Linked DNA regions of Arabidopsis thaliana. The protein of the gene in region 1 interacts with the protein of each later gene in a pairwise test. Each region holds a gene or a part of one and is shown on either strand. Other genes may lie near its edges.

Evidence for each region.
Region 2: the proteins of AGL16 (region 1) and AT4G03250 interact in a two-hybrid assay, tested with the Arabidopsis thaliana proteins (one large-scale study listed by BioGRID).
Region 3: the proteins of AGL16 (region 1) and AGL53 interact in a two-hybrid assay, tested with the Arabidopsis thaliana proteins (one large-scale study listed by BioGRID).
Region 4: the proteins of AGL16 (region 1) and AT5G09460 interact in a two-hybrid assay, tested with the Arabidopsis thaliana proteins (one large-scale study listed by BioGRID).

What each region holds. Positions count from the first base shown.
Region 1 is NC_003074.8:21,174,627-21,183,252, reverse strand, and holds AGL16 (AGAMOUS-like 16), read right to left. Parts: upstream 5,972-8,626; 5' UTR 5,649-5,971; intron 5,605-5,648; exon of another isoform or gene 5,558-5,604; 5' UTR 5,544-5,557; coding exon 5,362-5,543; exon of another isoform or gene 4,239-5,361; coding exon of another isoform or gene 4,159-4,238; coding exon 4,080-4,158; intron 3,687-4,079; coding exon 3,625-3,686; intron 3,266-3,624; coding exon 3,166-3,265; coding exon of another isoform or gene 3,151-3,165; exon of another isoform or gene 3,073-3,150; coding exon 3,031-3,072; intron 2,942-3,030; coding exon 2,858-2,941; intron 2,756-2,857; coding exon 2,582-2,755; 3' UTR 2,227-2,581; downstream 1-2,226. Other genes in the region: BG3 (beta-1,3-glucanase 3), read left to right, coding at 208-301, 406-1,337; AT3G57220 (Glycosyl transferase family 4 protein), read right to left, coding at 6,349-6,408, 6,508-6,628, 6,715-6,755, 6,841-6,901, 7,016-7,102, 7,210-7,337, 7,446-7,561, 7,645-7,763 and 3 more. UniProt on the Arabidopsis thaliana protein: Probable transcription factor involved in the regulation of flowering time in long-day photoperiod. Participates in the repression of FT expression and floral transition, by interacting closely with the FLC-SVP pathways.
Region 2 is NC_003075.7:1,421,478-1,429,348, forward strand, and holds AT4G03250 (Homeodomain-like superfamily protein), read left to right. Parts: upstream 1-3,424; 5' UTR 3,425-3,572; coding exon 3,573-3,582; intron 3,583-4,061; coding exon 4,062-4,169; intron 4,170-4,252; coding exon 4,253-4,858; intron 4,859-5,033; coding exon 5,034-5,113; intron 5,114-5,259; coding exon 5,260-5,733; intron 5,734-5,828; coding exon 5,829-5,903; intron 5,904-6,011; coding exon 6,012-6,109; intron 6,110-6,194; coding exon 6,195-6,267; 3' UTR 6,268-6,585; downstream 6,586-7,871. Other genes in the region: AT4G03230 (G-type lectin S-receptor-like Serine/Threonine-kinase), read right to left, coding at 64-1,351; FH (frataxin-like protein), read right to left, coding at 2,208-2,337, 2,563-2,657, 2,757-2,804, 2,902-2,974, 3,064-3,281; AT4G03260 (Outer arm dynein light chain 1 protein), read left to right, coding at 7,615-7,665, 7,783-7,871.
Region 3 is NC_003076.8:9,523,624-9,529,299, reverse strand, and holds AGL53 (AGAMOUS-like 53), read right to left. Parts: upstream 1,560-5,676; coding exon 696-1,559; downstream 1-695. Other genes in the region: AT5G27065 (uncharacterized protein), read right to left, coding at 4,598-4,633, 4,696-4,971; RLP53 (receptor like protein 53), read left to right, coding at 3,890-5,676. UniProt on the Arabidopsis thaliana protein: Probable transcription factor that may function in the maintenance of the proper function of the central cell in pollen tube attraction.
Region 4 is NC_003076.8:2,942,159-2,950,222, reverse strand, and holds AT5G09460 (transcription factor bHLH143), read left to right. Parts: upstream 1-3,383; 5' UTR 3,384-3,535; intron 3,536-3,873; 5' UTR 3,874-4,368; intron 4,369-4,470; 5' UTR 4,471-4,646; intron 4,647-4,762; 5' UTR 4,763-4,805; coding exon 4,806-5,786; 3' UTR 5,787-6,485; downstream 6,486-8,064. Other genes in the region: DIC3 (dicarboxylate carrier 3), read left to right, coding at 1-136, 396-982; AT5G09450 (Tetratricopeptide repeat (TPR)-like superfamily protein), read right to left, coding at 6,899-7,804, 7,947-8,064.

The DNA.
Region 1 (8,626 bases):
ATAGAAAACTCACATTCTTAGACTTTTCAAAGCATAGGTTTAGAGAGATATTCATGAACGGTGATTTAATGTATAACATTCCAAAACTATGATGATATGACGCGATGACTTTGTTTCATTCATTGACTTGAATCCCTCCATTCCTTCTATAAATTAGTGCAAAATGCTACGATTTTAGTATATAAAGTTGCAAGCTTAACATTAATCATGAAGATGTGTAATGGATCCAGTTTCTTAGCCTCATTACCACTGTTATTGCTTCTTCTCAGCTTCATATTGGCTTCCTTCTTCGACACGGCAGGTTCAATCTTCTTTTAACCTATTGATTATACCACATTGGTCTCTTTCTGATTCGTTTTCAGAATTTTATTCTTTTCACTAATGATTCTTCTTTTGAATTTTAAGTTGGACAAATCGGAGTGTGCTACGGGAGAAATGGAAACAACCTGCGACCCGCGTCCGAAGTCGTGGCGCTTTACCAACAACGGAACATCCGGCGGATGCGGCTGTACGATCCCAACCAGGAGACTCTCAACGCTCTCCGCGGCTCCAATATCGAGCTCGTGCTCGATGTTCCAAACCCTGATCTCCAGCGTCTCGCCTCCAGCCAAGCGGAAGCCGACACATGGGTCCGCAACAACGTCCGCAACTATGCAAACGTCACATTTCGCTACATCTCTGTCGGGAACGAGGTACAGCCCTCAGACCAAGCTGCGAGCTTTGTCCTCCCCGCGATGCAGAACATAGAGAGAGCAGTTTCAAGCCTCGGGATCAAGGTCTCGACGGCTATAGACACCAGAGGCATTTCCGGGTTTCCGCCGTCAAGTGGGACGTTCACACCGGAGTTTAGGAGCTTTATCGCACCGGTGATAAGTTTCTTGTCAAGCAAGCAATCTCCTCTGCTCGTGAATAATTACCCTTACTTCAGCTACACGGGAAACATGCGAGACATCCGGTTAGACTACACTCTGTTCACCGCACCGTCAACTGTAGTCAATGACGGACAAAACCAATATCGAAACCTATTCCACGCAATCTTAGACACTGTTTACGCATCATTAGAGAAAGCTGGAGGTGGTTCGTTGGAGATCGTGGTGTCCGAGAGTGGTTGGCCGACAGCGGGAGGAGCAGCGACGGGTGTGGATAATGCGAGAACTTATGTGAACAATTTGATACAAACTGTGAAAAATGGATCTCCGAGGAGACCAGGGAGAGCTACAGAGACTTATATATTTGCTATGTTCGATGAGAATTCGAAGCAGGGTCCCGAGACTGAGAAGTTTTGGGGACTGTTTCTTCCAAATCTACAGCCTAAGTATGTTGTCAATTTCAACTAATATCCTTGAAGACACTTCACGATAAAGCGATATGAGATAAATGACTTGTATCGTAAAGGTTTCCTAAGAGTATGGGAGCTTATTGTAATAGTAAGGAATAGACTAATGAGACCAGAAAAATAAGAAAAGTCAAGTACGTTTTTACTTCATCAGTTCAATATAGGGCTCTTCAATATTATAACTAGCAATCAACTTGTTTAGAAAACGCACATTCTTAAACTTTTCAAAGCATATGATATGATGAAATTAATCAATTTCTTGACTTAAATCTTCGTCTCGTTTTATAGACGAGCCGAAAATGGTACTATTTAGCCTTACCGCTTCTTTGACACCATAAGTTCAATCATCTTTAAGTTTCAGGCACATTGCATATAATAACGTGTAAGGTATGGAGTTTTACTTTATTAGAGAAAAAAATATAATAAATTTTGAGATGTTATTTAAGACACAATTTAGTTTAGTGATATAAATTTAAGTTCAAAAACATATGGTCTTTTGTATTTTTAGACGAAAAGAAAGAAATCTGTCAAAATAGTCCACAAAGTAGAGATAATTGAAAGAATGGACTTTTGAAAATTGTCCACTTTCATATTCTAGAGAATTTGTAGAATATATGGATCTAAAACTAGCCTTAAAATATTCATAGCTCTTAAAATATTCGAATATCTCAGAGAAAGAACAATTACCTACGAATAAAAAAGGAAGAAGTTAAAACTCTCCATGCATTTTCGGTTTTATGTTTTCAATAATTTTAAGACGACTTCGGTTTTAAGTTTTCTTTGGTAAACATTTTCGTCTCGTCATTATTCCTCATGAACCATGATAATCTACCAGAAGTATACTAAGGTCTTTTTAGTTATTTAAGCGTCTTACAATGTTGTGGCTCTTCATTGTTTACCTCTTGTGATAACGGGACTGATATTTAATCAGCTTTCATGCTGCAAACTAACTCACATTTTACAAATTGATTTGGATGGGAAGCTAAAATGCAACGGAAGGGTGACAACTTTATGCTAAAACACCCATTTCCTTTGATCATCAAACTACATGCTTAAGCGCCAAACCAAAGGTCTTTGCACGGAGAAAAAGTTTTAAAAGTTACAAAGCTGGTGTTTGATAGATATGGAATGCAAACTGATCATGTTTATGTTTTTATTTTCGCTTATGCAGAGGCAAGCTGACACAGTGAATTGTGATATGATTCCGACGAGGTCAACATAAGTGTGTTGGCACACCGAATTATATTATGCAATGAAGGAAAAATAGTTGAGTTGGATAGCTTTTGAATGCGTCTCATGATCATGCTGCGGTTGGCTGAGCTGAAGATGGACATGTTCGTTCGAGGTATCTCTCATGTCTAGACCATTTGTGAGAAGAGAATTCTTGTTTGCGATTTTCACACCCTCGACCTCTGAAACCTGGAATAAGCACATATTATCATCAGATAAGAAAGAAAAAAATGTTCTAGCAATTTTAAAGAGTATCTTGGCTCCCAGATACTTCCCAAAACCCAAAGGTACCTTTTCATGTAGTTCCATGTTCTGTTGGTGCATTAGGTTTACTTTCTTGTGGAGGTCTAAATTCTCTTGGTGAACGAGATTCCCCTGCAACCGAATAAAAAAAGAATTAGCAATGTGCTTACCAACACTATGGAAAACGTCTAAAACCTATATCACAGTAACCATAGTCCCACCTCTCGGTTAAGTACTTGTATTTCTTCGATTAACATTTGATCCTGCAAAAGGCAAAAGAAGAGCGTAGATAGAGTACATCCATTACTTCTTCTAAATGGTTCCAAAATTTGACTTATTTGTCACAGCATCAAAACCTTTTTCATTCGAACGCCACGAAGGCTCAATTCAAGCTGATTTTCCAAATTCTGTAAAGCTTCTACACTTAGTCCAGAGAGCTCCTCCCCCATCATTTGCCTGTCAAGTACAAGCTCTTCTGAATATGCATACTTTTCCAGAGTTACTATATACATTTCCTAATTCACCAAAGCAAAACAAGAAAACGATGGGGAGTGTGAAAGTGTTTGGTTATTTCCTTCTTATGGATGGTTTAGATGTGTTTATGTATACAACTCTTAATCCATTTGGCTTACTATTCTTTATATCGACTATCCTTACTAAGCAAATGCAAATGGTAGGATAGTTTTGGGTTCTGCAAAATCTTCTAACCTTGGACTACACGTATGTTATCATTTTGCATTTTAGTACATATTTCCCTGCTCTAGTTGTTACTACTATCGAGAGTGTTTGACAAACTCAGAGGATGCAAAACATACCGGTGGTTTTCTTGCAAGTTATGTAGCTGACGCTTTAGAATCGCAGCCTCCTTTTGCCAGAACTAGAATATAGTAGAAATGATTTTCAGGTGTTTGAAACTGTAAACAAGTATTTTGTTTTCGGATAAATATGTTATCTAGTCTACAACGGATTCTTGACAAAATAAAATGCAACACTATGTATGCAATCTGATGTTCAGGTGGCATGACTTGTGTTTTATAGCAAACTGCAAACCCTACTTCAACATATGATGTGTGGTGGTATTTATGGTCTGCAACTCTGATTAGATATCAGGATCAGCTTGAGAGGAATTAAAAGTTGAGAAATGCTAATGAGTTGTAATAGGCTAACATATTAGTACAAGAATCGAGTAACAGTCTCTCTGTTGTAGTATGTTACTTGTTTTGTCTACTCGTTGAAATCCATAGGGAGGAGTAACAAAAAAAAGGAGTACCTGAATTTCTGAAGCGGGATCATTTTCTGAACTGGTTTCTCCTTTGGCATCGCTGTATCTCTCTATGACCGATTTCATGCTGCCAAAAAAGAGAGTAGTTTCATAGTTGTAGAGTGTGGTTGATAGGTAATGTAACCCAAGCAACATCCACTGCAACATTTATCCTTACATCTTTCAGTGTCAAATTTTCTTACTTAAATAGATTTAGTTAACCCTAAGCCATCTCTGTCTACATGGAACAGGATTCTCAGCACCCCAACTACAGATTCGCAATAAATCTAACATAATGTATGAAGTTTAAGCAGAGAATGAGAGAAGCCAGACAAAATTGATGTAAATAGAGCCAACTCTAATCAGTAAACAGTATAGATATCTTGCTGTCTTTATTGAAGAGAAAAAAAGAAAAAAACAGAGTCTCAGTTCAAAAAACAGAGAAACAACAAAAGCTCTGCAGAACAATGGAAGCTTTCTCCCTCTGAAACAGATCTAAGAGCCAGATTTTATTCAACCTTTTTTAATAAACAATTATGTAAACACGAAAGATACAATCAAATAAAGAAATGAATGAACTCCTAAAGTAGAAATTCAGAAAGGATTGAAGATATAATATTTTTCTAACAAATCGCAAAATGTTCCCAAAAAGAAAGACTATACTCCTACATATCATTAACAAATGACCAAGTTGAAGAATTAAAAAAACAAAAACTTGATTATGGATGACAACGAAATCAGAAATGATTCCCCCACTTGTGTACTAACAATATATATTAAGAGAAGATAATGCAGCTCATTTTAGGTACATCAAACCCACCAACTAGTTGCCAATAAAGTAAATGAACAGTGAAAAGGAGACGATTCTTTCTAAATCCTCTCTAGAGTTTAGAGTTTTCTTCAACCACTAACCACTTTCTCCCCTCCTTTCCTCTTCTGATAAAGTTTCTACCAAATTTAGTATGTTTCAATAAACACCACAAGTCCCTCACAATCTATGTTCCACACAAATATCGTAATCATCTCCAACAACACAGAGAACACACTCTCATATTCCCCTTACAAAACATATTATCATTCAAACCAAGTGATTTCTTCTGCAAATTATCAGACTAAGTTGATCTACGATTCCTTCTCTAAAGCAATTGAATTTGCAAACAATTAACAAGAAATCGACTTAAGAAAGAAAAAAAAAAATCGAGATTTAGAATTTGCTACATCAATCAATCAACCAATTAGATGGACCAAGACCCAAAAAAAAAGTCAACCAAAGAGAAAAGAAAAAAGGTACCTGGAGCTGGAGAAATCGTAGAGCCTACCGGTGCTGGAGAAGATGATGACACCAACCTCAGCATCGCAGAGAATCGCAAGCTCCTTAGCTTTCTTCAACAATCCATTCCTTCGCTTCGAGAACGTAACCTGACGGCTCGTAGAGTTATTGATCCTCTTAATCGCGATCTTGCCCCTTCCCATTTCTGCTTCTATCACTTTTACACACAAACATCATCGTCAATTTCAAATCATCATCTCCTGAATCCAGGGGAGATTTTGAATAAAATAAAAAAATTGAACATTTACCTTTTTCAAAGAATAAACTAGATCGCGGGAAACGAGATCTGGTAATCCGATAACCGGAAGGGGGAGAAGAGAAATTGGTTCAGTTCAGAGATGTGGTTTTGTTGATCGAAAGAGAAAAAGGAAAGAGAAAGAGAAAGAGAAGAGAGAGCCACATAAGGAAAGAACATATGACAATTTGGGATATTTAGGGCAAAAGAGTTTTCTTACTATATAAACATACTTCGCTTGTTATGTTTTGACACATGGCATTCTATAAGTGGGTTTCTTTTCCGATTCTCCTTCTATTTTTTTATTACATTCTTTATTATTCTAGTACGACAGTAGTCTGTCTAATATTAAAAGCGCATTTTTAAAATTCAAAAATATATGTAAATGGACACTTCATTTAATGCATGCTATATTAGCAAAACTTTAATCTAAAAATTATTTAGTTTATTAATCAAAGTTATCAAAATAAGATCAGCATTTGTAGTTAAATTTAAATTCCAAGACAAATTTGTTCTGATTCATTTCATTGGCTTTATATTGTTGAGATACACTCGCCTTTAGATGAAAACTCTCTATATAAGTGAACTAAAACGATGATTCTAGTAGATTGTTGGACATGAAGCAAAACAAGTTCTGTGTTTGTATGATTTGTGAAGGCAGAGAGAGAGATGAAAAGAGGAACAGGTTTAGAGTTTCTTCATGTTGCAGAGATTTATTTGTACCAACCAGCTAGAAAATGCCTAAGCATGAAACAAAATGCGCAAGCAAGAGCCTGCAATAGAACACACAAAACACCAATCTTGTGATTTCTCTCTCTCAGAATAAACCAACTTGTATTTAGAGATGATAATATGGGCATTAACAAGTTTACCTGGAAAACAAGAAGATGAATACATAGAGACTTTTCTGTTTTCCTACCAAAAATCCTCAAGTAGACGTTCACGAGTGTCCCATCTTTTGTTCCTGTTAACAGTCCCGTAGCAGGATCATACCTGGTTTAAAAAAGAGAGAGGAAGAGTCATGTGTTGTTTACTTGTTGGCTTTGCCTCTTATGAAAAATGGACAAAAAATAGCTTACTTGGGGAGACGATGTCGTGGACATTTGACAATGCCAGCAAGCTGAAGAGTTATACAATAGCAAGTTAGATGCTTTCAAATGTATTGAAAAGTAACAGAAAGTGTGAGATGGAGAAAGGTATCAAACCTGCGGAAGTGACAGTAAAAAGTTCAACACTTGAGGAAGAAAAAAGATTAACAGGGTTTCACTGCAAAAAGCAAAGTTTCATAAGTAGTTAGTTAATTGAAGGCTCACACATAAGTTAAATGTAAATGATGAATCTAAGTACATTGCAATAAGGACGGTATGGTTAGAAGTATACCTGAAGTGACCGAGAATGCCAACAACTGCCATAGTCATTCCAGCAAAGACTGTGTAAGTGTCTCCAACAAAAACTGCAGAAGGGTACCTAACATCACCAAAGAGGGGACATGAACGTGGTTAGAGAAAGCATTCTGCTTTGCTAGTTTACCTGATTGATTTAAGAGAAAATGACTTGAAAGATCCAAAGATTACCAATTGTAGGCAAGCATTGCCAAGGATGTTGCCATCAATGGCTGAGTAAGATAGATTGAGAAGGCATGAGCTTGATGATACTCAGTATCAACAGATGCTCCGATTTGCATAACGTTGTGTATCAGAATCTACAAGTTACTGAGATTTATCATAACTTTACTTACGAGAAACCAACAGAAGGAAAAATGGGACCAAAAAAATGAAGCATTGCGACGCATTTTGACAGCAGAACTTACAGCAGCTGCAATAACTACGGTTTGACCGATTTCAAGGCCATTCAAACCAGCGTGAATGTTAATAGAATTTGTGCAAAAGACAGCCAGTAGCGCCATATATAACTTATATATACGTCCTGCCACGATAAATATACAACTAAGGAAATGAATTTCAAAATAGCTATTGATGGTTTAACACTATATACAAGATGAATTGTACCTAGATCAAACACTTCCAAGCCAATATAAGAAACTAAAGGTTTCGGTATGACGATAGTTGTATGTCCAGCATAAGCCATCAACAGTGGAAGGGTTGCAAAAGATGGCAAGAGAAGTTTCCTGCAAATTGACAAGAGTTAATAAGAAAACAAAACTAAATCATGAATTTTTAATCCAACAAAATGAGAACTGCACCTACACTCTCCAAGGCACATCAAGGACGTCATCTACAAATCCAAGCAATATCATGAAGCAAATAGACGCCAGTGCTGCATTATACTCCACAAGCCACTGCACCGAGTCATTTAGCCAGATTGATAAATTGCATTCAAAGTAAATGAGCCAAGAGCTACCAAGTTCATAGTTCACAATAAATAAATGATCAAGCTTGAGCTTTTGAGACCAGGACACTTACCACCGAATCTTCAGTGAAATTAAAGAACTGAAATACAATCGCCACTATCAAGAAGACAATACCGACAACAATTCCCAATGACTCAGGCCTACAAAGAAATAAGATTGCTGAAAATAAGCACATCAAAAGACTTTAAGTCCCCTGAGATCAAATCAAGCGTAAACATCCATAGAACATCAATCAGAAAATGAGACATCTCATAGTTTTCCTCCTATACAAAAAATCAAATCTAAGAGACATCCATTTCTAGAAAAACGCTGAACACTAATCTGAGAACTAAACAAAGACAAATCTAAGAAGGAAAAACATACACTCTAACTTCTCCTTGAGGAGTGCCTCTTTTGTTGATATCAAAACCAAACATATTACGCCTCAGAACGTATCTAGCAGCTACAGGAATCAACTTGAGTGTGACAAAGAATCCAACCAAGCTAAGCCCAGCGTTAATGAGGATCGGACGCTTGAGCTCATTGTCAACATTGTAGTGGAAACAGAGAAGGTAAAGATAAAGCGAACACAGAAGCGAAGAGATCACGAAAATCACGCCCAATTTCGGCGGCGCGAGCTG
Region 2 (7,871 bases), on another chromosome or scaffold:
TATATATCTTAATGCATTTTAAAAGCATTTCATATGTTTTAAAGTCGGTAAGAGATTGTTTACCTATATCTGGAACTGCTACGCGAATGAAAACGTTGCGGCTACCTAAATAGCCTTCCTTGAGATTATTGAGATCCTCCAACCAAATCCAGCACTTGGTATTGCTTTGAAGTATATCAACTTCTTCATATGAGTAAGCTTGGCATTGGCAATTATTCAAGCACTCTGCTCTGCATTCTTTTTCATTATGTGCATCAAACTGTGAATCCGGACTTCCTACTTCAACCACACTCAGATTCAAGAACATGTCTCCCACCACAACACCGTCTTTACCACAGATCCTTGACTCCCTGGAACATCCACCAGAAAAATCTCCCTTGACCCATTTCTCCAGGAAATTAGGCCTAAAACCTGGCAAACACTTACACATTTCCTCATTCTTGCTGTTGCAGCTACCAAAATTTCCACAAGCATTGTATACACTACATTCATCTCTAGGTTCAGCCCAAATCTGTGCCCAGAATCTTTCTCCATCTAACCTGAAGTACTGAGCTTGACCAGAGGAGCTCATGGTGAACCTTGTATTGGTATACAAAGATGTGAAGAGAGGAGGCACAGAGGCATTGTGAACAGTAACAGTCTCTGTGAAATTGGAAAGAAAGTAAGAAATCGCATAAGGCATCTCGTCGGATCCTATGAATTTACCCGAAATTCCGGATTTCCAGTATCTCATTGATCTTTTCCAAATGATGAACTGTTTGTCTTCTTCTTGATCCATCTGAAAGGTGAAATTTCCATGTGATGGATCGTTGAAGCTTCTCCATGATGATAAAGTCATATTCTCATCCATCCTCATCCCTGGGAGAAATGTATCAGTAGGATTCTGAAAACTCTGCCAAACCACATTTGCTTCATTTCCATCACTAATCAACACAAGATTACCATTATCCATCAGCTTTACCATTCTCTCCGCAGATACTGAGGAAGGTTTAACACCGGTGTCCCAATACACTCTTCCCTTTGAATCAATAACTTCAAGATTCCCATCTTTAGAGATGGTGAAAATGCAGGAACGGTCAAGAACCGGAGATTCACGATTTGCAACCCAGACAACAGTCAGTGGATGTAAATTGTAAAACCAAATCCCTAAGTACCTTCTTTCGTCGGAGCTTCCATTAGGAGTGAAGAAGCCAAGCTCAAATCTCTGACCAGCTGAAACAAGAGTCTCTCCATGGCTGTCATTGATCAATGTTGAACCTTTGAACAATGTTTTGGAGTCTTGAACTGCAACAAAACAATCTAATCGACGAATATGCAGCAAAAACATATAGAAGAAGACAGAAAGAATCATTCTCTGACCAGTACTAGCTTTTTTTTACTCATCTGATATCTCCATTATTTCTGCTTAAGAACTCAACTCAAAACGTGTCTAACGAAAAAAGAAAAAGTTTGCCTCAACGTCAACGAAAGACCCACCTGAAAAGTAAATATGTGGAACGCAGCTAATCATGTGTTTTAAGATGTTTCCAAGAAAAAGCAGAACAAGTCTCACTTGAGCATCTGAACCAAAAGCCATGAAAGTAGTAGATACTATTTACACTCTCTTAGCCACTGTATGTAGATACACATGTGACCAATTCACGCACTTTGTGTCAACTTTTTCCGCGATGGATCTCTAAATAGTTCAAAAAGATCCAACATTTTTTGAATAATACGTACTTTTAGAGTATTTTTTGACAATGAGAGAGACATAGGGGTACCTAAACGTGAATTACTGGAAAAAGGGGACAATGATGTTGAAGAAGTCAATCTTTTGTCCTTATTGGTGCTTTCGAAGAAGTGGAGATTGACCCTGCAAACATTGTTAACCAACTTTTTTCCGAAATTATTGTGAGATTCGAGGAGTTTTGACAAATGTAGGACTTTTGTCGTTCAAAAGAAATGTTTTCATCTAAAACGCGTAAACCTGTAAAAGGCAGCTTCAGCTCTGATTAAACAAAGAGACTTGCAACAATGTCACTATGAGACATTACTGTTTAAAAATAGATTCAGAAACACTAATCAGTTTTCACACTAAAACAACTTTGTCTTCTGCCTTGTTTGTTTATTCCTCTGGATGTTTCATAGATATACCTTTAACAGGGTATAGCAGTTTCAAGTTCATAGATGAAACCCTTTCGCTCACAAATATTGTTTTAAAGCCTTCTTTATGAGAGTTGGATTGGTTCACCACATAGATTCTCTAACTCCTCTTCCAGGAGTTTATGCAACTTTGCTTCAGTTCGCCGATATATCCACGCATTAGCATCACGGTCCCAGTCAAATCTAGAAGGGCCACTGCACCGAGACAAAAGGAAGAATGAAGATTACATTAATGTGAATCTAAGATGTGGAAGCACAAAGTCAAGAGCAACAACACTATACAGTCATAAACAGTTTCATTTCTCCAAATATCATGAGTACAAAAATCAGAAGAGAGAGCAGAACATGATAATCCAGATGCGAAATTCAATCTAGGCGCCTAAAGTTAGCAACTTTCAAAAGGCAAGAAAGAATCTTTACCTCACAGGTGAAGACATCCAGATTTGTCGATTTGGAGTTTGCTTATTCAGTACATAAGTGCCTAAAGATCCAAGCTTAAGGGTAAGAACTTCATTCTGTTGGAAACAGCCAAAAGGACTGACTATAATAAGTACACATAGATTTCCAGAAATATGAACAAGATCTTAAATTGCTTAAAAGAGTTTAATCCTTACCCCATAATCTATGTCGAAACCATCAATCTGAACATTATCACCATAATCCTGAACATGAATCATGCAAGTAGAACATAGTGTAAGCTATTGCAATCTCAAGTAAAACGAAGAACCCTAGAGAGAAAAAGGTTCCAGCTTCAAATACCTCAATTTTCTCAAGAAGGTGATTAATTGTGAAGTTGGCTAATTTGTGAAACTCTTCCTCCTGCAAAACCGAACTGTTTTTTTCTTCCACTTTGTTCATATTCTCATGAAATTAACGATTCAGATACAATAAAGGAGATCAAAATGGAGAATATTAAAGTACCTGTAATCGACAGAAGCAGGACCTTGAGAAGAGAAGCTTCTGGTAGTCAAAGAATCATGGCGGATTCGAGATCCTATTCTCCAGAAGGAATCCAACGGTTCTATGGAATCTTGAATCAGATTGCTTGAAACTCTTACGCCATTGCTACGGAGAAGAGTTGGAGACAGCTTGAGAAACCTCGGCAATTTCCGTAGAAGAAACCTTGAAGCTGTAGCCATGGCGGTTCTGTCACAAGAAACATTCGACGCCTCTCTTCTTCTTATTCCTTCGTTGTCCAATTTAGGCCCACAATAAGGCCCAAATTTAGATTTACCCGGTTCACGTATTTCCCATGTTCCGGTTTACTGAAACCGGTATGGTTCTCAAGAGATTTGTCATTTGTGTGCGAAGAAGAGTTTTCTTCTCCTCTCATAAGAAAAAACCAGAATTTTGAAGAAGGAGAAAGAAAAAAATCTGGGTTTTTGGGAGCTGATTAGGTTTTGTTCCTTCAATCTCTGGGAATTTTCGCTATGCACTCAGGTGAAATTCGTTTTTTCCTCTATTTCAATCTCTGTCTTCCTGCGAGTTTACGTGAGAGAATAGTTTTTAATGATCCCGAGTTCGTCGAATTACAATGCAACTCCCAGTTTTTGTAGTTTTAATTAGCGAAATTCATCAATGGCATTGGAAATTTTAAGCCTTTTTTGGTTTGTTTTATGGTACTACTAATTATTCAAGCTAAGGAATTCCAAAGTTTTCGTTCGTTTTGATTGGGTTTAGAAGTATTTGGCTGATGAGAGAAAGAGCCATAATTCTGAAATTAAACCCTTTTATGTGAAGCTTGTGTAGATGTTTTACCTGAATTTCGGAATTACTAGCAACATTTCTAAATACACAAAGCATGATTGTAAAATGAAATTGATTTTGGTCAGGGCTTTGCATCTCTTGGTTATTGAATGGTGTCCGTGTTTCACTATTATCTTCTTATGTTTTTGATTTTTATGTGCTATTTTCGATAGATTCAGGCGAAGCGACCGCTGATGGCGATAAAGCTTCTACAGAAAACAGCAAAAAACGGAAGCTTAAGACTCCTATGCAAGTTATGGCGCTTGAGAATTTCTACAATGGTAAATTATGGCTTTGTTGTTTGCATATGTTCCTTTATACCAAGTTGTATATGCTTTACAGGTGTGATTTGGTTTTTCTACAGAGCATAAGTATCCGACTGAAGAAATGAAGGGCAAGTTAGCAGAGGAAGTTGGATTAACTGAGAAGCAAGTTTCAGGTTGGTTCTGCCATAGAAGGTTAAAAGACAAACGTCATGTAAAAGAAGATGGGAATGCCATTGGGAGCCAAGATCGGTCAAGCGTTGTTCTTCAGGATCGTGGAAGTGGGCTTCGACAGGATTCATGTGGTAGTACAAAGCAAACGGATTATTGGAACCCCAAGCCTAGGGAAGTTGAAAGTCAAAGGCTTTATATGGGAAATGCTGATGGTGAAGATAGTACATCTTCTGATCGTAGCTCATCATTACGTAAGAATCTTGTCTCTAGCAAAGATGGAATTCGCGATGTGGAAAGTTCTAGATATGTTGCACATAAAGACGTTATTCAGCATCCTCAGTTCATGAGAAGCTATGGGTATAATAAGCCTTCGGGATACTTGAAAGTGAAGGGAGAGAGTGAGAATTTTGCTATCACTGCCGTAAAGAGACAATTAGGAAGACAATACCAAGAGGATGGTCCACCTCTGGGGGTTGAATTTGATCCTCTTCCTCCCGGTGCATTTGAGCCTCAGACTAATCCTATAGTTCACGGTGAGTCATGATAAAATGTTTCAACTTTACCTTTAATTTTCTGGTTTATGATGTTATGAGTATTGAGTAAGTGGCTCAGAGAAGCTAAAACCATCTTCTTCGTGTGTCAGATTGTGAATGCCTTTACCCATGTCCAGTCGGATTTGATTGCTTTTTCTATCAACTGTTTTGTCAGAGCCAATATATGTTGGGAATCAGAGACGGCCTCACCTTCCACATTTACTTGGAACGAGGAAGAGCTTTAATCCTGGTCCTGTAAGTGAACATTTTCTGTATACTACATACCCATGAAGATAATATAAACTAGAATCTTAGTCTGCCATCACATTCTTTGGCTAAATTATCTTACTTTCTTTGAAGTATTATTAATATTTTCGTTTTCTGTCTTAATGTCTTTATAGAGCTATGAATTAGCTCGTAAATCAAAGTTGCATTCGCCAGATCCAGATTCAGAGGATGATGAGCATGATGATGATGACAACATAATGGTTGGAATGGAGCCTGGTCTAAGAGATAAGAAAAGTTTTGGGGAACCAAGACTGAAATCCCCTTCTACCAGTTTCTATAATTCTGTACCTCGCCACAAATCGTTTAAAGAGACATTCAAAGGTTCACCACGGGAAATCCCTGTAACTAACAGCAAGAAGGGTTGGATAAGTTCCAAAAGTTGGGCTGAAGGGTCGAGAAACCATCTGGTTGCCAACGTCCAAAATCTTTCTGGAAGCAATATTGAAACCAATCAGTCTCATGATTATGATAATAATATATCTAATGGCGGACGCAAGACGGGATATCTCACTAAATCTTCGAAGCTGTTACCTCCGAGTAGAAGCAGATCCCCTGAGTCAATGGATAGAGGTCCATCTTCTGGGATGGTAAAGATTTGTCTAATACTTCCATGTCTACATGTTCCTTTCTTGCCCTTTTATGGAAATATGACTTGTGTTTTGTGTGATATCTTCTTTTAAAGGCAGGAATATATCACGGGGAGAGGAATCAAATGAAAATGCAGAGAGAGAAATTGCATTCGACTGATGAACCACCGGTGAGTTTGATGGTTAACTATCTTAAAAATATAGATATTGATGTATATTTTAACAAAGTTTAGAGGCTCTATCAAGTTCGTGTTCTGACCTTTAACGAATGTTAATAGGTTGCCAAACGAGTGAAACATGGGTATATTCAGCAAGTATATGCACCAAAATCATCATCATACAGCGAGATTCTTGAACGAAAAAGCCAGATAAATCGGTTAGTAACCAACCATTGTGTAATGCATTTATTGTCCCAAAGAGATATCAAATCGGCTTATTGGATCATACTGTTATGTTTGTAGGTCTGGTGTGGAACTGCCTTCTAGTTTAAGCGGGGACGATGAGACTGACGAATCTAGCTCGTCAATGGATTAAGTAAAGAAAGGTACAAAGGAAGATTAGGAAATTCCGGTTTGTATAGATATATGATGAAACCGGTTTAGGATGTGAAAATGTTGCATCGTGTAATTGGTAAAAGTTAGAGCTCTCTTCATTTTGGTAACTAAACGGTCCCCAAAGAGATACAGTGAGCCAGTAATGAGCCTTTTTTTGTTTAAATTTGCTCCTAAACCGTTACCGGTTTGACCGAATTGAGTATGTAAATCCCAGTGATTACAAAATAACCAAAGTAAGGCCCATTTATTAATAAAGCTCAAATTAGGCCCAAAATATTATGATAGTCCGGTTTAGTCGTAAAAGGCGGTTCGGAAATGTGTGACTAGGAGATTTCGTCACATGAGAAAAAATCAGAGCCGTTGACTAGTTTTCGTAGAAAGTATGTGGTACAATTTTGATTCGGCCAAAAAAGGTTTTTTTCTTTTTCTTTTAGGGTTAGCGTTGCTTTGCCTCAAACTCAAATTTTGAAGATAATTTTTTTGGTTTCTCTGCTACTGATTTCGAATCTTTACGCTTAATCAATTATTCATCTGGATTTTCAAATCCAATCCTTTTCCTCCCTGGTAAGAATCTCTCTTCTTCTTCTTCTTCTCTCTCACGACGATTCCACTGTTCTCCGATTCTGTGTTAGTTCCTGCGATATTTTCCATCACTTGTTCGTGTTTCGTTATTACGGGTTTGTGTTTTGTGAACTTGTTGACCTTTGTGTCTCCGTAATTTCGTCCAACGGTTGATGTTTTTGATTGCTGATTAGATTTTTGTCGGTAGGTATTGAAAAAGATGATCTTTATGGATTTTGTTTTCTGTTTCTTCTTTCCTTTTTGTAATCTGACTTGCAAGCTTTTTGCTTTTTTTGTCGGTCGGTGTTAAAAATTGTTCCTTTTCTCTTGTTCAATTGTTTCCTCAGGTGACCAAGTAATTGGGGATTAACAAAGGGACTGGGGCTTTATTAAGCTCGAAACAATTGTTCTTCACTCTGGCCGCTTCTGCAAAGTCGTGTGCTTCTCGCACCTCTGCGCAGGTGTGGGGTGGCCTTGAAGTGGTGACTTCACTCTGTCTTCCAAGGATTTCTCTAGCTTCTATCATTTGGAGGCTCCGTCGTGTTTCTGAGGGTCTTACCCTTGATTACGGCTAACATTTACTACGCCCACTATACCACCTCTTAAGCTTTTATAAGAACTTTTTATTCGTGCAAAAACTTAACTTGGATCTTAATTGTTTCTAGTTTAGTTGTGGTTGTAAAGTAAAGAACCGTTTTTTTGTGGTTTGGTTTTGCTTTTTTAGTTTCCGTTGGTGATGTAGTTCGATGTTATTAAGTTTGACACAATGGTCAGGTTTTCATGCTTCAACGCTCACATCCACCGCCATAGACCTAAGGTAACTTGAACCATCATTGCCTCTTGTGTCTTTAGAACGATAGTTTTACATTCTCTGTCCAAGACTCCTTTGTCCAATAAGAGAATGCTAATTTGTTTCTATGTTCTGGTGATGCAGAAATCTGTTGAAGGATTTTCAGAACGAGTGATCAAAGAAGATGGGTCTAAATCAAAAGGATTGAGCTCAATTATATTTGGGAGAAACAT
Region 3 (5,676 bases), on another chromosome or scaffold:
TAACTTGGTTAAGTTTATGTTTTAGTTTGGTTTCAGGATTGAATTCATATAAATCAATGTTATTGTTTCAAAAAAGTCTTTCAATTAGTCGGTCTAACCTTCCTAACTTGGCACACATATGACACTTCAATATAATGTTCAGGTTTAACGTTATCATGTACCCTTTATTGCAATACTCAAATCTTCAAGAATCGGGTAAAACGAGATAAGCAACTGTATAGCTTCATTATTGGCGTATATACGTAGACAAAACTCACTTAGGCATTGTAATCTGCAAATTCATTGGCATCAAATATCCAACAAAGCCAGAGTTTTTCCACCTCTTGGACAAAACACTACTTTTAACAACATTTTTTGTTGGAAGCTGTCACCAAAGCATCTGACTCATCAAAGTTGGCTTCTCTGCATAAATTATCGACATCTAACCTTCAATATCTATTGTATATTAAAAATCTGAACATAGCAGGTTTTCAAACTCAAATATAAGACTCAGACAATTATAGAAGAAGCCAAGACTGTTTTTAGAAACTTGAGAAAATAGCATTCATACTTGGGAAAACATACAATTCAATACAAACTCGTAATCAGGCACAAGAAGAGACAGTTAAACTCATAATCTAAATGAAGAATACATATATAATAGATCATTATAAAACGTACACCAAGTCAAAGATCAGTTTTTGGAACAACAAGAACTAATTATAAGGGAACATCATTGGATCTGCAAACGACGGTGCTTGATTCCATGCCGCAAACTGATCAAAGGGGACAAGTGGGGTTTGTGTCTGCATCTGAGGAGGAAAAACCATGGGAGGAAGATCAAAGTTACTTCCTAGACCAGATCCTTGTTCCCCAAGTAAAGCCGATTGGTCAAAGCTAGAAACTGAGTCAGGGACTTGATAGAAGCTACGGTTGTCATGGTTATAGAGAAAGACTGAAATTCTGCTCTGATTTTGACTCAATGATGACGTCGATAGGTCTTGCTCTGTGTTTGACACACCACTCATCAATGGTTCTGTCCATTGTTGATGACGATGATCCTCAATTAGCGAAGGAGGAGGAGACAATGGATTCGTTGTGGAAGAAACCGCACGGGTCTGACCAAACTCGGTCTGGTTTTTCTCGGGTTGGAGTAACAGAAGCTTATCTTGTAGTACTCGTAGACCACTTTCTAACGAATCCTCCATCTCTAAGACTTTCTCCGACAATTTAGTGTCGTCGAGGATCTTCTTACGTAGAAACAGAGAAAGGTTGGTTCTTTTCTTGCATCGCTCTCTCTCGTGTAATCTGCTAAACCTCTCAGCCATGTCTCGAACTTTTGATTGATCCTCCGGCCATGTCTTGATGAGTTTTCCGTCACGACCATAGTATATGACACAGACATCGATGTTGCACAGAGTTGAAAGCTCCAAGGCTTTCTTGAACATGGTCTGTTCTCTCATAGACAAATTCGTGGTCTTTTTTGCAGTAGAAGAAGAAGACAGGGACGATTTCTTGAAACAAGTTTGGTTTCTCACAGACAATTTGGTTTTCTTCTTCGTCGACATTGAAGAATCCATTGTTGTTGTTTACCCACAGAAAAAGAAGAAGAAGATACCTAGTTTCTTATCAGAGAGAAACCTAGAAAATAAACTTAGTGTAACTAACACACGGTTCAGGGTTATATAGAATTGTGAAATTCTTGTATTTCCATATAATATTTGATATTGATTTTACTAAACCAAGAGAGACAAATTGAGCTGTGGGTTTTATTTCCTTTTTCTTTAGAGTATCTTTTCTTCGTTAAATGATGATGATTTACTTCTATTAATCTAACCGTTGTGATATTTAAGTAATGAAATTCCCTTTTTGTTTGCTGTCTATGAGATAAATCTTAATTAGATACGATTTTCCTTTACCAATATCAATGTAACCGTTGTAGATACGATCTTAGATACGATTTCCCACATCCAGTATCTTATTATATAAAGTATAGTTTTTAAAGTTACTAACTCATAAGATTGTGGCACGTGTCAAGTCTAATAATGAGAAGTTTATATGTGTCATTAAAGATTTAACTTTTTAATTTTCTTAAAAAAATAGAAAACCTTAAAAAGAAAAATTTACATATATTAATTTCTTATTATATAAAGTACAGTTTTCAAAATTACTACCTCATAAGATTGTGGCACGTGTCAAATCTAACATTGAGATGTTTACATGTGTCATTAAAGATTTAACTTTTTAATTCTCTTAAAAAAATAAAAAACCTTAAAAAGAAAAATTTACATATATTAATTTATATATATCTAACAATATTTAAACTTTATTTTTCTTAACAAAAAAGAAAATTAACAAATTTGAAAACACATATATTATTGGTCAATTAAATAAATAATCATGTATTAATTTAAAAGAAAAATCATTAAGTATGAATAATAACTAATTAAAAAGACCACTTAAGTTTAAAATAACAATATAATTTATTTAAAATTAATTTAATTGGATAAAATTGTGTTTATCATTGTAATATAGTGTTTTCATTTGTTAAATTTTGAACACAAAAATATTTTTAAAATTTAGTGACCTTATTATAATAAATTTTTAAATATTTAAGATTTATTCTAAGAATTTTAACGTATTCGGTGATTGAGCAACTTGGATCCTTTGATATGTCACTAAAAGCTTATAACTATGTTTTATTGTAAAAAATTTAACGCATGTAGTCATAAGTTAAAACACAAGATTTTTGGAGAGAACAACTTATATGATTTACTTTTCAATTACTTAAAAAGAAGTTAGTATATTTTTTAATTAATTTTAACTCATTTAAAATAAGTTTACATAAGAGAAAATTACGCCATATATAAAGAAACATTTTAAAAAGTTTTGCTTTTCAAATATTTTTGTGGATTTTTTTTTTGTTAAGTTTTGTTTACTGTTTATTATTTTTTTAATATCAACAAAGATATATATTAGATCTGATATAAATATATTTTTTTAATAAAAAAAAATTCACTTAAGATGAAGTGTTTAGAATGAAAATCGAGTATATTATGATGAAATAGATACTTAAATTGTATTGCAAAATTGAATGTGTAAGATAGAAATTTGTAGGTTATTATTTAGAATTCAAATATCATCAATAAGCTTGAATGTGTAGAATTAAAATGTATGATAAAAGAGAATGTATAAGCATCAAATTTTGTTAAATAAAAAAATATTAAATTAATTGTCAAAAAAAATATAAATTACTATTTTATTATTCAACATTTGAATACTGTCAATAAAGATTTACATCTAAATCACACACCCGCCTATTTAGGCGGCCTTATTAGTTTTTTATAAAATAGTCCCAAATTTTAGTTTTAAGTAAACACAAAGAGGAATATTTATACTCTTCCGAGTTCGCTGACATATGGTAAAATGGGCCTTCGTTTTCTTTTATCCGCCTTCATTGTTGGGCCCTAGCCCAGTTGTTTTTTTTGCGCAAAATTAATACATCGATGGGGATTGACTCTTGACGCTGTCGATCATCACTATTCACTAGCACTAGTAACAATGAACAAGTCATTGCTTACCTGCAGAATTCATTTTCCACGATCAATTTAATTTGGCTGGACAAAATACAACGTTTTTTTTTCATGTTCCCTGTACGTAACTAAAAAGTAAGACAAAAGGAGTGGAAATGGACATTATTCAACGTAAAGACTTTTTAAGTCGTTGCGTTTAACGTGAAAAACGCCTCGGAGGGTCAAGCTGTGTTGGAATTATCTTTGTGGAATAGAGTCTATTATTTTTGTATATAAAGAGATGGGCATGAAAACATGTTACGTACCATCACAATTTCCAGATTTTATTTTTTTGCTTTTTCACTATCAATATTCAAGAAAATTAAATTAGCTTAAGAATGATGGAAGGCTTTTGGAACTCAAAGAGTATCATTCGTATTACTCTCTCTTTTATTTTCTTATTCATTTGTCATTTTCTGGACGTGCTTGCGGCTCCAACTAGGAACTTGTGTCGTCCCGAACAAAGGGATGCACTCCTCGCGTTCAAAAACGAGTTTGAGATTGGGAAGCCTTCTCCTGATCATTGTAAGATTTATGGCATTGAATCTCCTCGGAAGACGGACTCATGGGGGAATAACAGCGACTGTTGTAATTGGGAGGGAGTCACGTGCAATGCCAAGTCCGGGGAAGTGATCGAGCTAGACCTAAGCTGCAGCTCTCTCCATGGCCGGTTTCATTCCAACAGCAGTATTCGAAACCTTCATTTCCTAACCACTCTAGACCTTTCATTTAATGATTTTAAAGGTCAAATCACGTCATCAATTGAAAATCTTTCTCATCTCACCTATCTCGACCTTTCTTCTAATCATTTTTCGGGTCAGATTCTGAATTCAATCGGAAACCTTTCTCGTCTCACCTATCTCAACCTTTTTGATAATCAATTTTCGGGTCAGGCTCCATCATCAATTTGTAATCTTTCTCATCTCACTTTTCTAGATCTTTCTTATAATCGGTTTTTTGGTCAGTTTCCGTCTTCTATCGGAGGTCTTTCTCATCTCACCACTCTCAGCCTTTTCAGTAACAAATTTTCGGGTCAGATTCCATCTTCAATTGGAAATCTTTCTAATCTCACCACTCTCGACCTTTCTAATAACAATTTTTCGGGTCAGATTCCATCTTTTATTGGAAACCTTTCTCAACTTACCTTTCTCGGCCTCTTTAGTAACAATTTCGTTGGTGAAATCCCATCTTCTTTTGGCAATCTAAACCAGCTGACCCGCTTATATGTTGATGACAATAAGCTCAGCGGAAACTTTCCCAATGTCCTACTGAACTTGACAGGGTTGTCACTTTTATCACTCTCCAACAATAAGTTCACAGGCACGCTTCCTCCTAATATCACTTCACTATCCAACTTGATGGATTTTGATGCAAGTGACAACGCCTTCACCGGAACGTTCCCTTCTTTTCTCTTCACCATTCCTTCTTTGACTTACATTCGTTTGAATGGTAACCAACTCAAAGGCACTCTTGAGTTTGGAAATATATCTTCACCATCTAACCTATATGAGTTAGACATTGGCAACAACAACTTCATAGGACCAATCCCTAGTTCCATTTCCAAATTAGTCAAACTTTTCCGACTTGACATTTCCCATTTAAACACCCAAGGCCCAGTTGACTTTAGTATCTTCTCCCATCTCAAGTCACTCCTAGATCTAAACATATCCCATTTGAACACCACCACTAGGATCGACTTGAACTATTTCTTATCATATTTCAAAAGGCTCCTTTTATTGGATCTCTCAGGCAACCATGTTTCGGCCACAAACAAAAGTTCAGTTTCAGATCCTCCTTCGCAATTGATACAATCTTTGTACTTGTCAGGGTGCGGTATCACTGAATTTCCAGAGTTCGTAAGAACCCAACACGAATTGGGGTTTCTAGACATTTCCAACAACAAAATCAAAGGTCAAGTTCCTGACTGGTTATGGAGGCTACCAATCTTGTACTACGTGAATCTTTCCAACAACACTTTAATCGGTTTCCAAAGACCATCGAAACCTGAACCATCTCTGCTGTACTTGCTTGGCTCCAACAATAACTTCATAGGCAAGATTCCTTCTTTCATATGCGGGTTGCGTTCTCTAAACACACTCGATTTATCTGACAACAACTTTAATGG
Region 4 (8,064 bases), on another chromosome or scaffold:
CACATTGTCAAAACCGAAGGACCCGCCGCTCTCTTCTCCGGCGTCTCCGCCACCATCCTCCGTCAGATGCTTTACTCTGCCACCCGTATGGGTATATACGACTTTCTTAAACGAAGGTGGACTGATCAACTCACCGGTAATAATACTAAACTCGATCGGCAACAATATTACTCAAAAAATAATTTTGGTTTTTATTCGGTTTGGTTTGGTTTGATTACACTAAAAGTCGTTTACAGTTCTCGGTTATTGGTTTTAAATAAGAAAACCAATGGATTTATAAACAAATGCTGGTTCGGTTTCGATCTTAAACAGTTTCGGTTTGTTTGGTTCGAATTTTTTCCATATTATTACACAAAAGATCAAATAAATTAAACGTAAACGATAATTCCAAACAGGTAACTTCCCATTGGTAACCAAGATCACAGCTGGACTCATCGCAGGAGCCGTTGGATCAGTCGTCGGGAATCCTGCTGACGTGGCGATGGTGAGAATGCAAGCCGACGGAAGCTTGCCGTTAAACCGTCGCAGAAACTACAAGAGCGTCGTGGACGCGATCGACAGGATCGCAAGGCAAGAAGGCGTTTCAAGTTTATGGCGTGGCTCATGGCTAACCGTGAACCGTGCCATGATCGTGACAGCTTCTCAGCTCGCTACGTATGATCACGTCAAAGAAATCTTGGTAGCTGGTGGCCGTGGAACGCCGGGAGGGATAGGAACGCATGTAGCGGCGAGTTTTGCGGCGGGGATCGTCGCGGCGGTGGCGTCGAATCCCATCGACGTTGTGAAGACGAGGATGATGAATGCGGATAAGGAGATTTACGGTGGACCGTTGGATTGTGCGGTGAAGATGGTGGCAGAGGAAGGACCAATGGCTTTGTACAAAGGGCTTGTTCCGACGGCGACGAGGCAAGGACCGTTCACGATGATCTTGTTCCTTACCTTGGAACAAGTTCGTGGTCTGTTAAAAGACGTTAAATTTTGATTAATTTTTTTCAAGTAGTTAGGTTAATAAATGTTTGAGATTCCCATATTTCTTCATACATTTCATATACGTTTAAAATATTTTGAAAATAATTATATAGCGATTAAGGTAATATTTACTAGAGATTTTTGTATAAAAATAAATTATTTATTTGCACAAATATTTTTTTTAGTAAATGCGAAAACTGATAGTGATTGAAGCAAAGGGACTTTTTCGGACGGTCCAAGTCTCTTGGACTTGGGGGATATACTTTTGCTGGGGACCTTCATTTGGTATATTCCTTTTTTTCTTTGGGTACTATGTTCTATTTTCTTGGTTGACAGAAAATATGAAATATCGCTTCTAAATTACAATTTCTTTTGTTTGTTTGTAAAAATCTAAATTAGAAATTATGCAAAAAATTATAAGAAAATAAGATTAACAATAATGTTTTTCTTTTATTGACTTTGATCATATTATCTCTATAAAAGAGAAATAAAATCTTTCTAAAGTTTTTTTACTTGAGTTTGAAGCTGGTGGCAATTTGGTGTTTGTTTTATGAGATTGTATAAGAGTTATCCAAAGCTGAGACATGGCCCAAAATAAGTCCAAGGCCATGTTTAGGCTCCATTTTGCATGGCCACTCCACTCATCTAACCAAAGCCCAGTCTCAATTATGTGAACTGAAATTTCTATGTTTTGTTTTTTCACACTGAAATTTCTATCTAACTGTCTTTCTTTTAACATGTTTCAATGATTTGCTTCCGAATAGAACACATAATAATTGTTTCCTAAAATTTTAAGAATTTTGAAGTACATAGTAGGCATTTGGGTCCACTGATCTCACACGGCAACGACTATTCTCAAATCTCATATCACATCAAAATAAAGAAAAAAGATTCAACGAGAAATTAAAATCTTTAGAAAAAATGTTCCAAAAAGAAAAAGAAGTCATCAAGGCAATTAAGCACTTAATTCCCTGTGCATTTTTTTAATCATTCACTTGCGTCTCTTTCTCTTTTTCTTTTTTTTTCTTCTTTCACCAAACTTGCTTACCTCTTTATTCGTTTTCTTTTCTTTCTCCTATGATCATGGAATTTGGTGGATGCTCCAACGTTTTTCACCTCAATCACTTATTAAAATATCATGTACAATAGTTCGTAATTATATATGAAAAAACGAGTGGGCTAAATTGGTGTTTTATAAGCCACGTCAAAAATATTGTATTATTTAGCTAGCTACTAAACTAGTCAAATATGTTACAATGTATATAGTTCAATTTGTATCGCGTCATCGTAAAGACATAAATGTTCCAAATCATCCCACCCACACACCTAAAAAGAAAGGTTAATACTTTAAAAATAATGATTATAGAAACCACCAAAATGGTTAAAAACTCACTTCCACTATTTGGCTCATAATTATAAAGAAAAAACGTTGCCCCCCCCCCCAAAAAAAAAAAAAAAGTTAAAAAGAAGACGAACATATAATGGCTTTACTTTAACGAACTACTAAGAAATTCTCACGTTTATGATATTACATAATTATTAATTTATGGCTTGAAATTATGGATCGCGAGGGTTTGCCATTATACATCATAATTACATATATTCTACGTTCCACCTCCTCTACTCCTCGTCCCATTGCAACCATCCAAACTAATAAAAATATTTAGATTATTTCTACCATTCAATTCAAAATTATATGCATTTTAAATTATACTATATGTATTTTCTAAAATAAATTTAAATTGAACTGAATTAAATAAATTTAATTTTTCTTTATAAAAAATATGTGTTAGAAATATGAATTGAAACTCATACTAAAGTGTATTTTAGTTTTAATTTCTACTAAAAAGAATAGTAAAAAATCAAAATAATAAGACTATATCCAATGTTCAATTCTATTTTTTCTTCTATTTTAAAATTGACTCTATTTTAAAGGTATTTTATTTCATTGTATGACTCTAAAATAAAGTTTTCTCTAAAATAGAAAACAAATATAGAGTAAGTTGTCTTTTGTTCTATTTATAGAGTAATCTCTACATTTTTCTTCTATTTTAGTAGTAACTCTATTCTAAAATATATAATAGAGTAAAATTAATTATATTTCTTCTTAAATTGAGTTAATATTAAAATAGAAGAAAATAAAGTTGGGCAATGGAGATGGTGTTATGTTTTGCTCAAATGAGTTTTTAGAGTTGATGTTCCAGCTTGGTTATCTAAATTTTGGAAGAGAAAGAAAAATGAAAAAAAAAAAAAAAAAATCTGAAATAAACTTGGTTGATGTGAACTGTTTTTTTCTTTTTCTTTTTCTTTTCCTGGTCTCCATTATTGACGGTAAATAAAGTGGTGGAAAAGGGTAAAATCGTCACAAGAAATAAGAAGATGTATAAAGCAATGTCACACACTTCAGTCTTCACGCCCACTTTTAGTGAATTTGCTAAAAATATATTTTCGAAATAATATTCCGCTTTCTCGTTTCTTATCCGTTCAAGCTTTCGTGAATTCGTCTCATAAACCTCTCCACTCTCTCTGGATCTCCACGCATAGATCTTCCTCTGTTTTCCTCCATGTACGCTTCTTGGATTCACTTAACCATTGTTTGTCGCTGTGCTCTCTCTGTTTTTTTATTCCTCGAAAAAGTTGAATTATCAGCGAATTTGATGCAAATGTGTTTAAATCGTTACCAAAACGGATAAATTCTTCTATTTTCGTAGCTTGGCTTGCAAAATCCAAGCTTTTAGTTCTTGATTTTGCTAAAATAAATTATACTTGTTCAATGCTGCAGAACATGTACTTATCTTCTTCTGCTGTTTATGGTTTCTCTATCCTTTCAATTGTTGTGAATGTTTGGTTTCTTTGGTTTGTTATTACTGGAATTTGATGAGATGATTCTCTGTTTTGTAACAGAATTCTTCTCTCTTTCTCTGGATCACAACAAAGCAGTGAATGAGAAAAACAGCATGAGTTGGTTCACAAGGTCTGTTGATGTGTACCGTAAAGTTGTGAGCTTGAATCTGTATTGCCGAGTTATTCTGTAAACTTTTTCTCTGCCTTGAAAAACCCCATCTTCAATCTTCTTCTAAATCCTCAGCCTTTTCTAAACTCTTTAATAATGGGATCCCAACGTTTCTACGTTTTCCACTGTGACCAGTATAGGATCATCTAAACCCTTAAAGCTTCTCTTTTTCTTCTTCAAGTCATCTGTCTTTTGGTGACTTACTCTGTTCTGTGGAGAAACACTAGTTTTACATTCGAGAGTTTGGAAAAGTTATTATTATGGTAAGTCAATCAGCTGGTCAAACAAGATTTCGAACATTCAAGTACGAGAACAACGGAGACTCTAGCAGACCAACAATTGTAGTGAGAGTTATTGCTTGCTTCCAACCGATGGATAATTGTCAGGTTTGTTGCAGCAAAAATGATATTATACTCTTTTTTTTGTCACATTTCATCTCATAGTCCTGTGTTTCTTATCTAACACTTTTGTCTCTGTTCCACTTGCAGGCTGAATACTTTAGACATATACTCAAACCAGTGACGTAGTTGGTTTGTGAGCTTGTGTTTGTATTTTTGGAGCTGGCACCTTTTTTCTTTTTGTCTCTACTTTCTTATACGATTGTTTCAAGAAAGAATCAACAAGTGTTGCGTTCCACACATTTGAGCAACAGCTTCCACAATCGGTATGCTAACTGAATCTTTGACTCTTTATGGATTATTGCTTTCTTGAGTTGGGCTACTAGTAGTTGTCTCATTCATAGCCATGTCCAATGATTAGTCCCTTTCCTTTTTCGTGCAGTATTGTATTCCTGTAAAGTTCCCTTGGCTTAAACTGCAAGAGCATGCCTCTTGATACCAAACAGCAGAAATGGTTGCCATTAGGCTTAAATCCTCAAGCTTGTGTCCAGGACAAGGCGACTGAGTATTTCCGTCCTGGAATTCCTTTTCCGGAACTCGGTAAAGTTTATGCAGCTGAGCATCAGTTTCGCTATTTGCAGCCACCGTTCCAAGCCTTATTGTCTAGATATGATCAGCAGTCTTGTGGAAAACAAGTTTCATGTTTGAATGGGCGATCTAGCAACGGTGCTGCTCCAGAGGGGGCACTCAAGTCTTCTCGGAAAAGATTTATAGTATTCGATCAGTCGGGAGAGCAGACTCGTTTGTTACAATGTGGATTTCCTCTGCGGTTTCCTTCTTCTATGGATGCAGAGCGAGGGAACATTCTCGGTGCCCTACACCCAGAGAAAGGGTTTAGTAAAGATCATGCCATTCAAGAAAAGATATTGCAACATGAAGATCATGAAAATGGCGAAGAAGACTCGGAAATGCACGAAGACACTGAGGAAATCAACGCGTTACTGTATTCTGATGATGACGATAATGATGATTGGGAAAGTGATGATGAAGTAATGAGCACTGGTCACTCTCCATTCACAGTTGAACAACAAGCGTGCAACATAACAACAGAAGAGCTGGATGAAACTGAAAGCACTGTTGATGGTCCACTTCTTAAAAGACAGAAACTACTGGACCATTCGTACAGAGACTCATCACCATCCCTTGTGGGCACCACTAAAGTCAAAGGCTTATCAGATGAAAACCTTCCTGAATCAAACATTTCAAGCAAACAAGAAACGGGTTCTGGTTTGAGCGACGAGCAGTCAAGAAAAGACAAGATTCACACCGCTCTGAGAATCCTGGAGAGTGTAGTTCCAGGGGCAAAGGGAAAAGAAGCTCTTTTACTACTAGACGAAGCCATTGATTACCTCAAGTTGCTGAAGCAAAGCTTAAACTCATCAAAGGGTTTGAATAACCATTGGTGAAAAACCTACAACCCCTTTTGTCCTATTGATAAGGCATGTTTGGTTGGTTAAAGAGAAGACATGGGACAAAAGATAATCAATGAGGTAAAGGACTGATGAAGAAGATTCTCTCAAATTCATTAACGTGGGTTTGAAACAATTAGAACACGCCTGGTGACCCTAGTGGGACCGTATCCACTGTTCATCTAGCTGGATCAATAGTGGTTTACTTTTGGATTTGGCATGCTCTCTCAAAAAAGAACCAAAAAAAAGTCACTTTCTTCTGTGCTTGGAGTGGAAGAAAAGTGAAAGAAGGGAAAAAAGCAAAGTCTTGGTGCTCATTGATCGTTAATAATTATCTTTACTCGTGAGTAATAATAATATCTCTGTGAAGGTCTGGTGGTGGTGGGTGTGGATGAAGAAAAATCAAAAAGGCAAATATTGAAATTTTTGGAGTGGTTGTGACTTGTGGAAATTGAAATCTTCCCACTTTCATTAGGTGAAAATCTATGTCCCCACTCTCTCTTGTCTCATTATTACTCTTCTGTTGCTATCAATCCCATAACTTGTCATCTTTTTTGTTTTTTCTAATCTCTCTGGCTCTTAAGCTCTTCAAAGGCCTTGTAGTTTTGTACTATTGTAATGTTATTTGCTTCTGTTGTTTCTCTCATGGGTCTAAACATGTTTGTGTATCATGTTCATGTAATAAACTCGAGTGTTAATAATGGAACCTTCTTTGGCTTCTTACATGCTAGGATTTTGCTCTAACCTTTCAAACTATCATTTTTTCTATACCAAAAACAAATTTTGTAGACTTATTATTAAACAACAACCATACAAGAAAAACCTCCACAATCTATTTTTTGTTGTAAAATTTGGACTTTTTGAAATTTGACGTTACATATGAAATGTTATGGACCTTGCCTAAGGAAACACATCTTCCGACTATGCAGCAAAATCTTCTGGTGAGGAAATCTATGTGTCTCATGACCTCCCACGTAAAGAACAAAAAGATATTTAAGAATCACAGTGAAGAGAAGAAACCTCTATTTTATTCATCCACCATGATTAATGAGCTTGATCTGATTCTTCTTGCTAAGAGCATAAAATTTTCACCAACTTATTTCTCCATCTTAAGATGATCCTTCATTCTCCAAGCTGCATTTGTTATGCACCAAGATCAAGTGAAAGCCGCTGGCTATTCCCTCTAAACCAACATCTCGAAAAGCATTCAAGATCCTCAAGCAAGCAGAAGCATCAAACTCTGTCGTTTTAGACTCTTTCCACTGATGGATAATCTCCTCGGCTTCTCTCAAATGACCAAGCATTAGATAAGATGAAAGAACACAAATGTAGCTTCTACTACTCAATATCTGGTTGGTGTTTCTCAAAGACTTCCAAATCTGATCTATCATAACCTTGTTCCCTAGACCAGTGTGCAGAATCATAAGGAAGTCATATGTGATCCATTCTCTTTGCGAAATAGATTTCTCAGCTTCGACAGGCAAAGTAGACTCTGCATTAGTTACTCTACTACTGTTTATGTAGATGCTAGTAAGATCGATATACCGAACCCAACCCTCATTGGAACTAGCATCATGCCTCATCTCTTCAAGAATCTTTCTAAGCTCATCTATATTAAAGGTTGCAGCACATGAACTTAGCCACAAATTATAAGTAAAAATATCCGGAGAAACCTTTTTCTGCTTTAACACTTCAATAACCTCAGGTACTTTCTCAACTTGCCCAACTGACATGTATAAAGTCATCATCTCGTTGTATGTGATGGCACCAAAAGTGAGACTATCACTCTCAATGATTCTCTTGAACAAGGCCTCGGCTCGTTCGGTTTGTTTGGAGGCAGCATAAGCATGAAGGAGAGAAGTATAGGTTTCAGCTGTCTTTGAATCTATATCCAGACCTTCAAAGTAGCGTTCAGCTGCATCGATCCCGAAAACTTTTGAAATCAGATCTATGCGTGAGGCGTAATCAGCATCTGAGATCTTTGATTCTTCATGCTGTACCATCCACTCTGTAACCTGTTAATAATACTTGAATTAGCTCCCAGAAGAATGCAGTTTTGTGCAGCAACACATAACAAATCATAAATTGTGCAATCAATCTAGAAACTAGGAGCTACGAAGAAAAACCAATGAAAAAGGAAATGATCGATGTTAGTACCTCAAGAGCGTGCTTGTAACGGCGAGTTCTCCTAAGCTCTTTGGAGATCTCTCGGAGTTCATTGATAGTCATTTGATTCCCTTCTCCAATCCATTTCTCGAGAACAGTAGTCGCGCTA